3 linked regions of the Cricetulus griseus genome follow. The protein of the gene in region 1 binds, or shares a complex with, the protein of each later gene. Links are inferred from orthologs where the notes say so. Each region holds a gene or a part of one and is shown in the gene's direction. Other genes may lie near its edges.

Region 1 (5,098 bases):
CAAGATAGTTCACCCAGCGCCAGCCAGCCAGTTCACATGGTAACTACTTTGCCACCAGGCATTGTGGCCTGAGTTCACTCTTGGGAGCCCACATGATGAGAGAACTGACTCTAGGTTGTCCTTACCTCCACAAGCATGCCGGGTTATCCTTTCCCTGTGTAAGTAAGTTTAAGGTATTGACACCTGGTCAGAAGACAGGGCGTGCCAGACCTGAGACTCATCCCCAGGAAGTACTCCACCAGTCAAACTAGGTGGAGTCAGAGGGAATTTGTACCCAATGGAGAGTCCTCAAGTAGCAGAAGCCATTGAAGGCCAGCCAGAAGAATGGAAAAGCTGAAACAATATTAACTTATACTGGATAGGCAATTTAAACTGTCTAGAGTTTTATGATTTCATTAAGACAGCTTGCCATGTGACTGATAAGTTACATTCTTGGGGCTAAGTGAAGATCAACTCAGTGTTCCCCAGGGATCTCCTGTGCTCCTGCAGTCATGTTCCCAGCCCCCTCAGTGGTGGATTCTAAGCCAGCACTCTACCACTGGGCTGTCTCCAGCCCTGCAGTCTTATCTTGAACGCTGACAGCAGTGAACCCAGGATTGTTTCAGCAAGTCTGATAACTCAGGCGCAGGAATGAGCGCCCTAACAGAATTAGGCTTTGTACCTTGGTCTTTTCCATATTTGATAGGCCCAAGTCTTCACAAAGGGTAGGCATATGACTCAAATCACAGCACTTGGGACAGGGCAGGAGGATCAGTCTTCCTCGGGTGCATAGGTCAGCCTCAGCTACATGAGACCCTGTCTCAAAAAAAAAACAAAAAACCAAAAGCTGGTGAGATTGGTCTGTGGGTGAAGGCACTTGGACTCCTTTAATCCCAGCACTAGGGGAGTTAGGGGCAGGTGGATCTCTATGAGTTCTAGCCAGCCTGGTCTACATAGACCCTGTCTCGAAATAAAACTAATTTTAAAAATTCAGACATAACATGAAGTCCTATGTCCCCTGTACCCACTTACAGTATGTAAGGCCAACAGGAACTCACCGTGTCAAGGAAGTGTCCTAACCACTGACTTTGGAAACATGTCCTCCAAGTCAACCATAAGGGAGACAGCCTTGGTTCAAATGAGCCAGGTTTGATTTCCGGACCCCCAGGGTGGAAGGAGAGAGCCGTCCTCCACACCCTGTGGCACAAGGGCGCACACACTCAAACACACATGTAACTTAACAGAACCCCAATCTCTTTCTTCTTTTTTTGTTTTGTTTTTGAGACAGGGTTTCTCTCTGTAGCTTTGGAGCCTATCTTGGCACTGGCTCTGGAGACCAGGCTGGCCTCGAACTCACAGAGATCCGCCTGCCTCTGCCTCCCGAGTGCTGGGATTAAAGGCGTGCGCCACCAGTGCCCGGCCCCAATCCATTTCTTTCCACCCCAGAAATAACCATTTCTCTGAATTCCTTTACCCAACTTTGTATTTTTTTACTATCTTAGTACTTTTTTTTAAAAAAGATTAAATGTAGGGGCTGGAGAGATGGCTCAGCGGTTAAGGGCACTGCCTGCTCTTCCAGAGGTCCTGAGTTCAATTCCCAGCAACCACATGGTGGCTCACAACCATCCGTTATGAGATCTGGTGCCCTCTTCTGGCACGCACTGTATACATGATAAATAAATAAATAAATCTTAAAAAAAAAAGTTTCAATGTAAAAACCTGGCTTTTCCACCATTAAAAACAACTTGGGGGACATTCCTGGTGTCTTCCTGTACCCCAGATTCACTGATTTCTTATTCAGTCTTCAGTCAGCACGCACTGTTCCTATGGGTGAGTGAAGGAAGCCAAGTGAGTGATACGATCTCCAGCCCTTTCGAGAAACACATGGTAGAAGGGGTTAAAAAGTGATCTGGAGACGCGAGAGAAGACCGCTTCAGCGTGGGGGGAAAAAAGAAAAAAAAAAAAAAAAAAAGCGAGGGCTGCCGGTTGAGCTCGCTTTTTGAGCATCTGTCCATCTCTCACGCCTATGTCCCAGCGACTGGGCGGCGGCGGAGGTCCTTAGGGCAGGCACCAGGGGGGCGTGGTGACAGATGGCCCCATTCCAGTTCAGCGTGCTCCGCGGGCGCGGGGGCGAGGGCACTGACAGCCCCGGACTAGCGGTCCGCGGAGAGCGCAGCCGGGGAGGGGGACTCCGCCCACACCTTTTTGTCCCGCTCGCCTTCCCGTCCACACGCCGCACCTCAGCCTCCCCATTGGCCGCGGTCCCCGCCCGGGGGGCGGGAGCGAGCCGGCGAGTGGGCGGGGCCGCGCGGCGTCAGCGCAAGATGGCGGCGTCGGCGGCGTCGGCGGCGCTGCTCTCGCGCTTGCGGAGCGGGCTCCGGGTCGGCGCGCGGGGACTGTGCACGCGGCTAGCGCCGCCGCCTCCTCCCCGCGCCCCAGAGCAGGTGAGTCGGCCCCGGGGACCCCGCCCGACCCGGGGCTTCCCCCCCCCCCCCGTCAGGCTCGGGCCGTCCGGAACTCCGCGTCCCGGGCGCTCACCGTCCCCGAGCCCGCTTTCCCGGCGCCCCCGAGCCTCCCGGGAGCACCACGCCTGCCGCCCGCTCGCCCGCCCGCCCGCCGGGCTGGGGCGCGGCGGGCCCCCCGGTGCATCCTCCGGAGCCCGCGTCCCAGCCTCGTGGCTGCCGGGAGGTCACCCTCGCCTGATGCCGGCGCGGGAGCGGCCCGCCCGGGACGCCGGGGTCCCAGGCCGGCCGGGGGAGGGCGGGACGGGCGGCGTCCGCCTCGGGGGCGGCGAGCCGGGAAGGCTGGCCGGAGACAGCCGTCCTGAGCTCCAGGCGAGAGAGATCGCCTCGCCTCGCCCCGATCTCTTGGGTTTCCCACCCCTCCCTCTGCGGCCCGGGATGTCCGGGTGTCTTAACCGCTCCTCCCGTCCCTTGGGTGCCCTCCGGCTCCCTGGTTTTGCTCTCCCCGCCAGCCCTGACTCTCCCTGCCCTGCTCGCCCTGGCTCCAGACCCTGCTGCAGTCCTGTTGCTTTCAGGATCCCGGGCAGCCCCGCCTGTCAGCCCTCGAACCCCTGTGATCCTCCGGACACAGTTTTATAGTTTTGCCCCTCTGCGGGGACCAACTTTTCCACTCAGCCCTTCCAGGGACACGTTTTTCTGGGGCTCTGTGTATGTCCACGTCCCTCGATCTTGACTCTACTTGGACCGAGTTAGAGGTCAGAGAGAGCCTCCTGCTGTTTTCCTCTTAGCTGACCTCGCCTCCTCCCCTCCGCTCAGGTTGCTGAGATCGCCAGTCGTGGAGGCTCCAAGGCCCAGGGGCCGCAGCATCAGCCAGGCTCAGAAGGTCCCAGCTATGCCAAAAAAGTTGCACTCTGGCTTGCTGGTTTGCTTGGGGCCAGTGGGACTGTCAGCATCGTCTATATCTTTGGTGAGAGACATACCCCTGGCTTGCTGGCCCCCAGATTTCTACTGGGAAACCTCCCCTTCTTTCCTCAAACTGTTCATTCCCTGGCTCCTCCCTCAATAGGGCCTTCAACGGGGATACTCACCTTGAAACTCAACAAGTCCCCTTCTACCCCTTGTACTTAATTAAAGTTCTAGCCTCTAGTTGGTCCCTGTCCCTCCTGAAGTCAGGAACTAAGGGGACAATGGGAAGAATAGGGCTGGCCCAGTGTCTGAAGCTATGTCTTGTGTCTCCCTTCAGCAGCAAAAGCCTAACCTTCCCCTTGTGTGTAATCTCAGACTCGGACCACTTTCTCTCTCTCTCTCTCTCTCTCTCTCTCTCTCTCTCTCTCTCTCTCCCCCTCTCTTTCCTCTCTCTCTCTCTCTCTCTCTCTCTCTCTCTCTCTCTCTTTTTTCAGACAGGATTTCTCTGTGTAAATTTCTCTGTGTAACAGCCCTGGCTGTCCTGGGAACTCAGTTTGTAGACCAGGTCACAGAGATCTACCTGCTCTGCCTCCTGAGTGCTAGGATTAAAGGCATTCATCACCATGCCTGGCTAGCCCACCTTCTCTTAAATATATTGGAATCCTGCCCCTTCTCCCCCCATTCTCTTCCTCCCTTAATCCAGGAGCTGTGCCTCTAGCAACATCCCCTCTGACGGGGTTGTCCAAACCCCTCACTTCCTAACCCTTCCAGACCCAGCAGATTAGACTCCAAGTTTCTCTCATCCGTCTCTGTCTCCCTTGCAGGAAACAACTCGGTGGATGAAAATGGCACCAAGGTGAGGGGCGTTAGACCCAGAGGTGCTAGGGTGGGTTGCTTTTGGTTGGTTCAGGCTCCTTTCTAGTCTGAAATGAGCCCCTCCGCCCCTCCCTCCCTCCCTCCCTCCCTCCCCGGGACCTTTGCCTACTGAGCCTGGAGCTCCTTGAGTGGATGTCCTGGGACCCCTCTGCCAACCCAAACCTTTGCTTTTCTCTCTCAGATCCCTGATGAATTCGACAATGGTGAGTGATTTAACAGATTTGGGAGTCCCTGGTGTCCCCATCTCTGCTATTTTGTTTTGTTTGGAGTGCCAGTTCCTCTGTCCTGTACCCCAGCCCCTCCTCCTCCATGGAGGTTCAACAATTAGATGCTTGGGGGGGCGGGACATAACAAAAGCCCCTCAGCCTGGAGCAGATGGTCAGGAACAGATGGGGGCAGGGGGCCGCAGCAGTCCCTCCCAGATACCGGCTTCCCGGGCCTTAGATCTGGGCATCTGTGGCCCCTGAGTGTTTATGACAGCCTCTTTTTTGTTTGTTTAAAAATCCTTAAGTCCCTATCCCACCCCATGCCTCATTTCTAAAACAATGCCTCTCAGTGTCTGTGCCCTGCCCCTTCTCCAAACATACCCCAGGTTCAGCAGAGTTTGGTGAGGACTTCTGATAAACTAGGTAGTAGAGTAGCTGTGAATTTTAGCTGACCCTTCCTGACAGAAAGTGAAGTTATTGGGTCCACAGAGCCCCCTGGGTGAGATGTGTAAACAGTGAGTACAAGCACTGACTGTGTCACTGGTCGCCAGGCAGGAGACTGAGTCTGCTTTTCTAAGTGCACAGATTTCAGGTCTCCTGGGTTTTTGTTTGTTTGGTTTCTTATCTTGGGTTTTTGTTGTTGTTGTTGTTGCTTCTGTTGTTTATTTG
Region 2 (4,787 bases), on another chromosome or scaffold:
GTCTCAGATTTCATTTAAGTCTTTACATTTTGTGTGTGTGTGCTTGAGTACCATGGCAACACGGCAGTCACAAGACATAGGAGCGGGTTCCCTCCTTCCAGTCTGTGAGTTCTGAGGACTGAACTCAAGTCAGCAGCGCAGCTGCAAGCACTTTTACTCACTAAGCAATTTAGCCAGACTGTGTTTTGTTTTGAGAGAGGGTCTTAAACTTGCTTTTTAAGTGGGGATGAGCTTGAACTTGTGATCCTCTTGTCTCCCATCTCTTATGTGCTGAGATTACAGGCAACCACCACATCCAGCTTCTGACAACTATTTTAGAGACATTTTATTGCTATTCTGTTGCTCTGTGGAGGGTTGACGATTATTTACAAAAGTTTGTCATTGTAGTCTGTTAATTATATTGACTTTCCCATAAACAACTATACTAAAACAAAAACAAACAAACAAACAAACAAAAAATGGGTATTTTGGCTGCATTATGTCTGTGTAACACAAGTGGTCCTAGTGCTTGCAGAGGCCAGAAGAGGGTGCTAGGTCCTCTGGAAATGGAGTTACAGACAATTGTGAGTTGCCATGTGGGTGCTGGAAATCAGACCCCTGTGGTGATATTTTTGTTTGTGATCTAACAAATAAAACTTGCCTGAAGATCAGAGCACAAAGCTAGCCACAGCCATAGAGACCAGACAGTAGTGGTACTGTAAGATGGGAGGAGATGGGAGCAGTGGGATGTTTGGTGAAGAGCATTTGCTAAAAATCCACCGTTCGGACTAGAGAGATGGCTCAGAGGTTAAGAGCACCGACTGCTCTTCCAGAGGTCCTGAGTTCAATTCCCAGCAACCACATGGTGGCTCACAACCATCCCTTATGAGATCTGGTGCCCTCTTCTGGTGTGCAGATATACACGGAAGCAGAATGTTGTCTACATAATAAATAAATAAAATCTTTAAAAAAAATCCACCGTTCACGGCAAATTAAGTAGCATTATTAATAATAGTTTTCAGCAAAAATACTTTTGGTGGTGCATGCCTTCAATCACACTCAAGAGGCAGAGTCAGGCGGCTCTTTGTGAGTTCGAGGCCAGTCTGGTCTACATAGTTTATTCTTGAACATCCAGGACTATACAGAGAAATCCTGACTCAAAAAAACAAACAGTACACTATTTAACAAGTTTGGGTGCTCTGTACCCGGAATCCTCGCAAACTTTGAGGAGCTGGCGGGGTAGCAGGTAGTATACGCCAGGCGTCTACACGGAGTTTTAACTGCTATTGGCTGCGGCAAGAAACGATGCCCCCAATCCCCGCCCAGTAACCCAGTAACCCGCCCTCTCCTGGGATCACTTCCGTCACTTCAGTTTCCGGAAGTCCGGCGTGCCCGGGACCTTCGCGCGGGCTGGAACCAAGATGGAGGAGTACGCGAGAGAGCCGTGGTGAGTGCCGCAGCCTCCCTTGTTGCCCCTTACCCCCCTCCGCCTGCCGCGGTCGGAGTCCCAGGTGCAAGCAGAGCTCCTCGCGGCTCGGCGCCGGGAGCTGGGCAGCTGTGGGTGGTGCGGGCGAGAGTGACCCGGTGGCTTTTCCGCGCTGTGTGCCCGGACCCAGCACCCCGGTGACCTTGTGCCTAGCGAGGAGGTCCAGTGCTGGGCTTCGTGGAGCTTTGGAACCTCCTCCCTATGGCGGGTGCTATCGATCTGGTGCGGGGGTAATAGTGATCCTCTTTGCCCGCTGAGGTGACCTTGGACATGTCCCTAGGCCTTGCTTTGCTCAAGTTTCCACGTCCACGAAGGGAATGTAGATCTCTTAGTGACATACTCGAGGCCTTATTTGTATGGTAATAAGGCCCCCATGAAGAAGCATTTCAAAACAGTAGGCCATATATTTCAACCAGTGTCCAAGGGGTCTGGATAAGCTCCTTGTAGGCTGGAGCGGCATTTCCTGCGTGGAATTCCTGAAGAAAAAGGGACATAAGTGACCATCTGGAAAATAGTAAAAGATGAGCTGCATGTGTTCCCAGAAAAGTCATACACAGAAATAAATTCATTCAGTAAGCGTTTATTAAGTGAGGGCTCTGTGCTTGGCTCAGTGTCCAAACATGAGTAAATCAGGCAAAGCAAAATAGCTGTAAATTGGTGAAATAGCTATTGAATCTCAAGTTGTCAAGGTAAAGCCTCAAGGGTCACAAGCAAATAAGGAAACCTTGATGTTTGGTTTTGTTCAGATTTTGTTTTGTTTTTATTTATAATGAGAAAGAATCAAGCCGGGCGTTGGTGGTGCACGCCTTTAATCCCAGCACTCGGGAGGCAGGCGGATCTCTGTGAGTTCGAGGCCAGCCTGGTCTTCAGAGCGAGTGCCAGGACAGGCTCCAAAGCTACACAGAGAAACCCTGTCTCGAAAAACAACAACAAAAAAAATTGGTATCCTCCGATTGTGCATCTGCCCAGGACTTTATTATTTAGTGGCAGTCTGTGCTGTCACCCTCAAAGATCGGCTTCTGCCGTGTGTCTTCACTCTTCCTCTAGAGAGGGTTAACAGCACTGTCTAAAACAGTATATGGGTTTAATCATTGTCTTAATACTTCTTTGTATGACTTGTTCTCTCAGAATCCTTTAGACCACATAAATACAGTGGAAAGAGTTTACCAAAGTTTGCTTTTAGTTGGCTGTACTAGTTCCTTATTTGTTTTGGGGCAGGCTACTTAATGTCTGTCTGAGCCTTTGTTCACTGTAAAATTCAGAGGAGATAGTCATAATCTTTTTTGTCGAGTTAAAAGATTGTGAATTCTAAAGGAAAATGAGTCATTATTCAGATTCTCGTGGGCAATAATGGTAAGTTTAAAAGTGTTCTTGTTCTTGTAGTGATTGTCCATGGGCTAGCTCACTATAGTGCTTGTCTTTTTGTAGGGAGGGACCATAGGTTTGGGGTTAAGATGGGGTTTTGTTGTGTAACATAGGCTGGCCTTTGACTCTTTAGCCTCCTACCTCTTCCTCCCACGTGCTGGGATTGTCAGAATGTGCCACCACTCCTGGTTCTGTGCTTATCTCTTGAGGCTGTCAGATATACTGAGAAATTTCTTTGACTTTGCTAACTTTAGATTTTGTTGTGACATTATTTATAAGCCTGAGTAAGCCTCTATGTGCTTGCCCAATGAGCATATGAACACTATAGAAACAATACTCTTAGTGCTTCACAGAATTCATTTAGATTTGAAACATGGTAGATGATGTGTGCTAAAAGTGAAGTAGCAGCTTTTTTATTTGGAAGATGGTGGTGGAAGAATTAATTACAACTCTACTAAGAGTTGGCTGAAACAGAATTTACCCTGTACTGTGTGTGTGGCTGTGTGTGTGTGGGGGGTGTGTCTGTGTGTGTGTGGGGGGGTGTCTTGTATCTGTGTCTGTGTGTCTGTGTATATGTATATGTGTGCTGTGTATAAATAGGCTTTGTGCGATATACCAAGAAAAACTTACATAAATCTTTACGGTAATACAATTGACTTAACAAGGCTGGAGATGTTGTGTGTCAGGTCCTAGGTTCTATAAAGACCTTTATTAGCCAGATTCCTAGAGTAGGAGTTTTGATCTCTTGATCAAATTACTTATATTTCAGTGTTGTGTGAGTTAGGGTGCAACATTATTAGGTATTAGTCTAGTGTGCTATAAAGTTTAAAATGCTGTTTTGAACTTAGTTATCCTGAAAAGACTTCAGACCTTTTTGTTTGTTTGTTTTCTGTTTTTTGAGGCAGGGTTTCTCTGTGTATCTTTGGAGCCTATCCTGGCAGTCACTCTGTAGACCCGGCTGGCCTGGAACTCACAGAGATCCACCTGCCTCTGCCTCCCGAGTGCTGGGATTAAAGGCGTGCGCCACTAACGCCCGGCTAAAAGATGAGATTGTTAAATCCTTCTGCCTTTGAGGACTTGAGACTGAATAGCTATGGATATGTTTAGTGTCTTTGCCCTTATTTTACAACCTAAAAGTTTATTGGTTGCAGTAGACTCCACACTGGAACCTGTTGCATTCCTTCTTTTATAAAGCAAAGAAAATTTTATGGTTTATATGGTTTATGAATGAGAAATAAGATCCTCTTTCTCCCCTTCCTCCCATTTTTAGCCCCTGGCGGATTGTGGATGACTGTGGTGGTGCCTTTACCATGGGTACCATAGGTGGCGGTATCTTTCAAGCCTTCAAAGGTTTTCGAAATTCTCCAGTGGTGAGTGAATGATTGGTTTCATTTTATCTTCACTAGAAACCAGGGCTGGTTGGTCCCATCGGTGGGTTAGAAATATATTACACTTATAATCGTTTGTTCTGTTTTAATCTATTATTATTATTATTATTATTATTATTATTTGTGTGTATGGGCATTTTGCCTGAATGTATGTTTGTGCACTGCTTGTTGCCTAGTGCCCGTGGATCAGATCCCCTGGTACTGGAGTCACAGACAATTGTGAGCTGCCTTGTGGGTGCTGGGAATTAAATCTGGGTCCTCTGGAAGAACAGGAAGTGCTCTTAATCACTGAGCCATTTCTCCATCCCTATTTTATTTTATGTATGTGTGTTGTTTTTTGTTTTGTTTTGTTTTGGCATACATGTATGTCTGGGTACCATGTGCATGCCTGGTGCCCACAGAGGCCAGAAGAAGGCATTGGATCTTTTGGAACTGGTATTATAGACTGTTGAGATTACCATGTAGATGCTGAGAATCAAACCTGGGTTCTCTGGAAGAGCAGCAAGTGCTCCCAACCTCTGAGCCATCTCTCCAATCCCCAATCTATTACATTTTAGATCACTTCCTTT
Region 3 (4,863 bases), on another chromosome or scaffold:
AGATCTGCCTGCCTCCACCTCTGGAGTGCTGGGATTAAAGGCGTCCACCACCAATGCCTGGCTAGCTTTATTTTATTTTATTTTGAAGACTGGGTTTTGGGCAAGTTGCCATGGCTGGCCTTGATCTCCTGGGCTCAAGTCATCTTCGTATATTGTCCTCCTAAGTAGGTGATCCTATTGGTACTTGTCACCGTGTCCACTTGATTCATGAGTTAAATTAAACTCTATTCACCAGCCTTACACATCACACAGTACTTACCAAGCAGTAGTAATGGGTATCAGTAAAGTGACATTGAGATGCCTTCCAGGCCATGCAAGGTATCAAGTATCAACAATAAAGCCTATCAAGGAGATATACCTCAATAGTACAGCACATCCAAGAGTTTGGATTTGAACCCAGCAACGCAAAGGGCGGGGGGAAGGGTGTGCGCTTTGGGGCTGAGGATGATGGTAGAGCGCCTGCTCGGCATGCACCTTGGGTTCGACAGGGCGAGGGGCAGAGGTGGGGGAGCTAGAGAACAGAATAACAGACATCTGTTAACACTGACACACGGTATTAGATGCTATTAGCTTTCTCACCGGGCTCCAGATGTTTGAGGATGCCCCTCTTCGCCAAGCGGGTCTGCAGTGCAACAGGGAGCGGCATTGCGGGTTGCTGACCAGACCTAGGAACCGACAGAAGGCAGTGAAGGGCAAATCCGATAAACATTTCAATCAGGATATCCAGTAACCATGCGTCACACTACAGCATGTGCTCATTTGACCCCCCACCTACCTAACTGCGCCAGCAGCTGGAAAGACAGCACAAAAAATGCGTGCTAAAAGATGAAAGAAGTACGTGGCAATACGGTGAGGACTAGTACCACCAGAACTCTACTGACCGGGGCACTGGGGACCGGATGCACCGAAGACCCAGTTCCTCTTCAGGCCAAGGCTCCACCCATCGCCAGAGGGACCAAGCGGAGCTCACCCGCAACCCAGAAATGGGATCACCCAACGTCCCTCTAAGTCAGCACTGTGGGAGGAACCAAGGCGCTGGGATGGGGGTGCAAAAATGCCAACACCATCTTCAGCTTTAAAAGAAAGCTTCCACCTCGGCGTTAGCAGTGCAGCTATGCGGATAATCAAAGTCTGTCACCCTGTCCTCCTCCCCCTCTTTGTCACTATGCTTACCAATATCGAAGGGCTCTTCTTTTAAAGCACAAAACGCTCCCCACTCTCCCCAGGTGTAGTTAACTGGTCGACTCCAGGGCTTGCAGTGAACGGATGTGGCCAGCCTGGCTAGCCAATAAGAGTGCGCCTTTGATCTTACGTAAGCAAAGAAAACCAATAGTTTCCTTGGCCTACGTAAGACGCCTCCGCTCTTGTGGGCGTTTCTGGGGGGGAGTGGCTCGTCTGTGCGACTGTCTGCTCCAGGCCAGACGCTGGCGCCATGGAGGAGTACGCTCGCGAACCTTGGTACGGCGATGGGCACAGGCTTCGGGACAGTCCCTGCGAAGCCCAGGCCAACGACGGGAGGCGGGCGGGGAAGGCAACGGCTACACTGTCAAGTCCCTGACTCGGGAGGCTTAGAAACTTTACTGCCTCGGCGCGTCCGGCCTGGCTCCTCCCACTCGGACTTCGCTAAAAACCGCCACAGTGGAGTGTCCCTGTTGGTGCGGTGTGGGACAAACCACCTCACTCTTCCCCTGACTGTTCTCCTAGAGACTTTTTGTGAGCCAAAAGAGAGACGCTGGGCAAATCCATTCCGGCAGAGGGGGAGGAGAGGCGTGGAGCCAAAACCCACAGTTTCCTCTCGTGGCCTTTCCCAGACTGGTTTTTGACTCCGGTTAGGGCATGTTCATGAATCCACTGTGGGTTAAGGGGTGGGGCCTGGAGCTTCCTCATGGCTTTTGATTTTTCCGTTTTAAATTTTAAAATGACACTGTACAGGGGCTTCCTTGGACGTGCTTCTCCCCCCCCCACCCCTTCGGGGAACAGAGTGCCACCCTGTTCTGCTTTACTTAAATAACATTAGGTAGTTACCACTGTTGAAACCTGCCAACTCTTTGTACATATCAATCCATTTGATTTTTGACAGCAACAAAACAGTTGGATTGATGCTCAGTTGTAATCGAGAGCAATATTCTTCCAGTAATAAGCCCAGCATTTGGAAGGCTATGTAGTGAGGCACCTCCCTCACTCTCAAAAAGAAAAAGAAAAAAAATGTTTTCCCACTTTTGCGCCATAGACAGATTTACAAACGTTTTTGGTTTTGTTTGTTTTGAGCCAAGATCTCACTGTGTAGCCCTGGCTGGCCTGGAACTCTGACTAGGCTGACCTTAAACACACAGATCAACCTGCCTCTGCATCCCAAGTGCTGGGATTAAAGGCATGTGCCACCACGCTCAGAGCAGAAAACCTTTTTCTCTTTTTGGTTTTGGTTTTTCAAGACTGGGTTTCTCTGTCTATCCCTGGCTGTCCTAGAACTCTCTTTGTAGACCAGGCTGGCCTGGAACTCAGATCTGCCTGCCTCTGCCATGCTAGTACTGGGACTAAAGGTGTGCACTACCACTGCCTGGCTGCACAAACTTTCTTTTTAGGACAGGGTCTCCATTCATAGCCCAGGTTGGACTCCAACTTGTGATCCTCCTGCCTCATCTTCCCAAGCATTGTGCTTACAGGTATGTAGAACCATGCCTGGCTTTCCTTTCTGGCTTTATGGGTCATATTAAAAACTGACAGAACTGCCTGGTGGTGGTGGTGGTGGTGGTGGTGGTGGTGCCAGCCTTTAATCCCAGCACTCAGGAGGTAGAGGCAGGCAGATCTCTATGAGTTTGAGGCCAACCTGGTCTACAGAGCAAGTGCCAGGATAGGCTTCAAAGCTACACAGAGAAACCCTGTCTCAAAAAAACAAACAAAAAAAGAACTGATTTGTTATTATCTGAGGTGTTTCTTATCAGTCATGACCTTCCTATTTTGGTTCTCCAAGTTCCAAAGAGTCCAGGCTTGGCAGGGCAGAGTCTCACAGTAACTCTATCTTTTCCTTCCTGCTTGCAGCCCATGGCGAATTGTGGATGATTGCGGTGGAGCCTTCACTATGGGTGTCATTGGTGGTGGAGTCTTCCAGGCTATCAAGGGCTTTCGTAATGCCCCCGTTGTGAGTTGGGCCTTCCTTGGTGGTGTGGGAGTCTGCAGTCTTACTGACATAGAATACTGTTCTGAAAACACATTCATTCACCTACTACTACACATTCACCTACTATTGGCTCCTGGCCCTATGATTTGCGTACCTCTGTTCTTCAACTATCTAGCTGGAGCTCCATGGAAATGCTGTACTGTCAGAAACAGTCTTAGGAGCTAGAAGCATATGTAGGTGGAGTTTTTGTAGGGACTCTGATCAGCTGTTTCGACAGCTGCTTCCCAATTAACCATTCAGACTTATTGTTAATTATAAATGCTTGGCCAATAATTCAGGTGTGAGCCAGGCGGTGGTGGTGCATGCCTTTAATCCCAGCACTCGGGAGGCAGAGGCAGGCAGATCTCTGTGAGTTCGAGGCCAGCCTGGTCTTCAGAGCGAGTGCCAGGATAGGCTCCAAAGCTACACAGAGAAACCCTGTCTCGAAAAACCAATAAAAGTAATAATAATAATAATTCAGGCGTGTTACTAACTAGCTCTTACAACTTAAATTAACCCATTTCTATTAATCTGTGGCTCATGGCTTTTACCTCTCCTGCATGTCCTGCTTCCTCTCCAACTGGCTGGTGACTCCTCTCACTCCACCCTCCTTCCCAGCATTCTTTCCGTCCTGAAAATCCTGCCCATCCATAGTCCAATCAGCTTTTTATTAACAATGAGAGTAATAACATTTATAGTATACAAAGATTGTTCGAAGCAAGTATATAACTCAGTGGTAGAGTAGTTGGTTCATTCCTTAGCAGCAGAATAAAAAGAAAAAGGCTAGTATAAAATCTTAAATGTGTATGCAACATAGATTTTACCTCAAAACAGGACACTTTTTTTGTTTTTTCAAGACAGGGTTTCTCTGTAGGTTTGGAGACTGTCCCAGAACTTTCTTTGAAGACCAGCCTGGCCTGGGACTCACAGAGATCTTCCTGCCTCTGCCTCCTGAGTGCTGGGACTTTAGGCATTCGCCACCACTGCCTGGCATGATTTTACCTCAAAACAGACTCTGGGTTAAAATCCTCTATATAGAAAAATGACAGTAGTTTGACAGAGAGAACAGCCTTTAAATTGAATTGGGGGGCCCTTTTAATATAATTCTACCTTGTCCCTGAAGCTCCCTACCCTTGGAGATCTCATTAGATGTCACTGTTGTAAAAGCAATTATGAGCTGAGTGATAGTGGTGCACACCTTTAATCCCAGCACTTGGGAGGCAGAGGCTGGTGTATCTCTGTGAGTTCCAGGCCAGCCTGGTCTTCAGAGAAAGTTCCAAGACAGTCTCCAAACCTATAGAGAAACCCTGTCTTGAAAAAACAAAAAAAGCAATTATGGGGAAGGGCTGGAGATAAGTCTCAGTGGCTAAGAGTACTTGGCTTTGTAAGCATGAGAACCTGAGTTTGATTCCCCAGCACCTATGTCAAAAGTCAGGCATGGCTGCCTGTGCCTATAACCCCAGCATTAGAAGGGGTGAGGCATAAGACAGGTGTATCCCATGAGCTTGCTGGCCTGTCAGCCTAGCTGGAAGTGGAGCTTGTGGTTCTGTTAAAGACCCTGTCTCAAGAAGAAAAGCAATAGAAGACCCTAACGTTCTTCTCTGACCTCCACATGTTCACACTCCTGCACATTCCTGTGTATATAAGACACACACACACACACACACACACACGCACGCACGCACGCACGCACGCACGCACGCACG

Evidence for each region.
Region 2: Timm50 (region 1) and Timm17a share a complex: the UniProt entries of both Homo sapiens proteins name them as parts of the TIM23 complex. The link is inferred for Cricetulus griseus from reciprocal best matches to the Homo sapiens genes TIMM50 and TIMM17A.
Region 3: Timm50 (region 1) and Timm17b share a complex: the UniProt entries of both Homo sapiens proteins name them as parts of the TIM23 complex. The link is inferred for Cricetulus griseus from reciprocal best matches to the Homo sapiens genes TIMM50 and TIMM17B.

What each region holds. Positions count from the first base shown.
Region 1 is NC_048602.1:7,569,388-7,574,485, forward strand, and holds the start of Timm50 (mitochondrial import inner membrane translocase subunit TIM50), read left to right. Parts: upstream 1-2,069; coding exon 2,070-2,423; intron 2,424-3,257; coding exon 3,258-3,408; intron 3,409-4,171; coding exon 4,172-4,203; intron 4,204-4,404; coding exon 4,405-4,426; intron 4,427-5,098. UniProt on the Homo sapiens protein: Essential component of the TIM23 complex, a complex that mediates the translocation of transit peptide-containing proteins across the mitochondrial inner membrane. Has some phosphatase activity in vitro; however such activity may not be relevant in vivo.
Region 2 is NC_048598.1:53,937,280-53,942,066, forward strand, and holds the start of Timm17a (mitochondrial import inner membrane translocase subunit Tim17-A), read left to right. Parts: upstream 1-1,342; 5' UTR 1,343-1,400; coding exon 1,401-1,426; intron 1,427-4,100; coding exon 4,101-4,200; intron 4,201-4,787. UniProt on the Homo sapiens protein: Essential component of the TIM23 complex, a complex that mediates the translocation of transit peptide-containing proteins across the mitochondrial inner membrane.
Region 3 is NC_048604.1:114,362,703-114,367,565, forward strand, and holds the start of Timm17b (mitochondrial import inner membrane translocase subunit Tim17-B), read left to right. Parts: upstream 1-1,395; 5' UTR 1,396-1,432; coding exon 1,433-1,458; intron 1,459-2,582; coding exon 2,583-2,663; intron 2,664-3,039; coding exon 3,040-3,139; intron 3,140-4,863. Other genes in the region: Pqbp1 (polyglutamine-binding protein 1), read right to left, coding at 580-646. UniProt on the Homo sapiens protein: Essential component of the TIM23 complex, a complex that mediates the translocation of transit peptide-containing proteins across the mitochondrial inner membrane.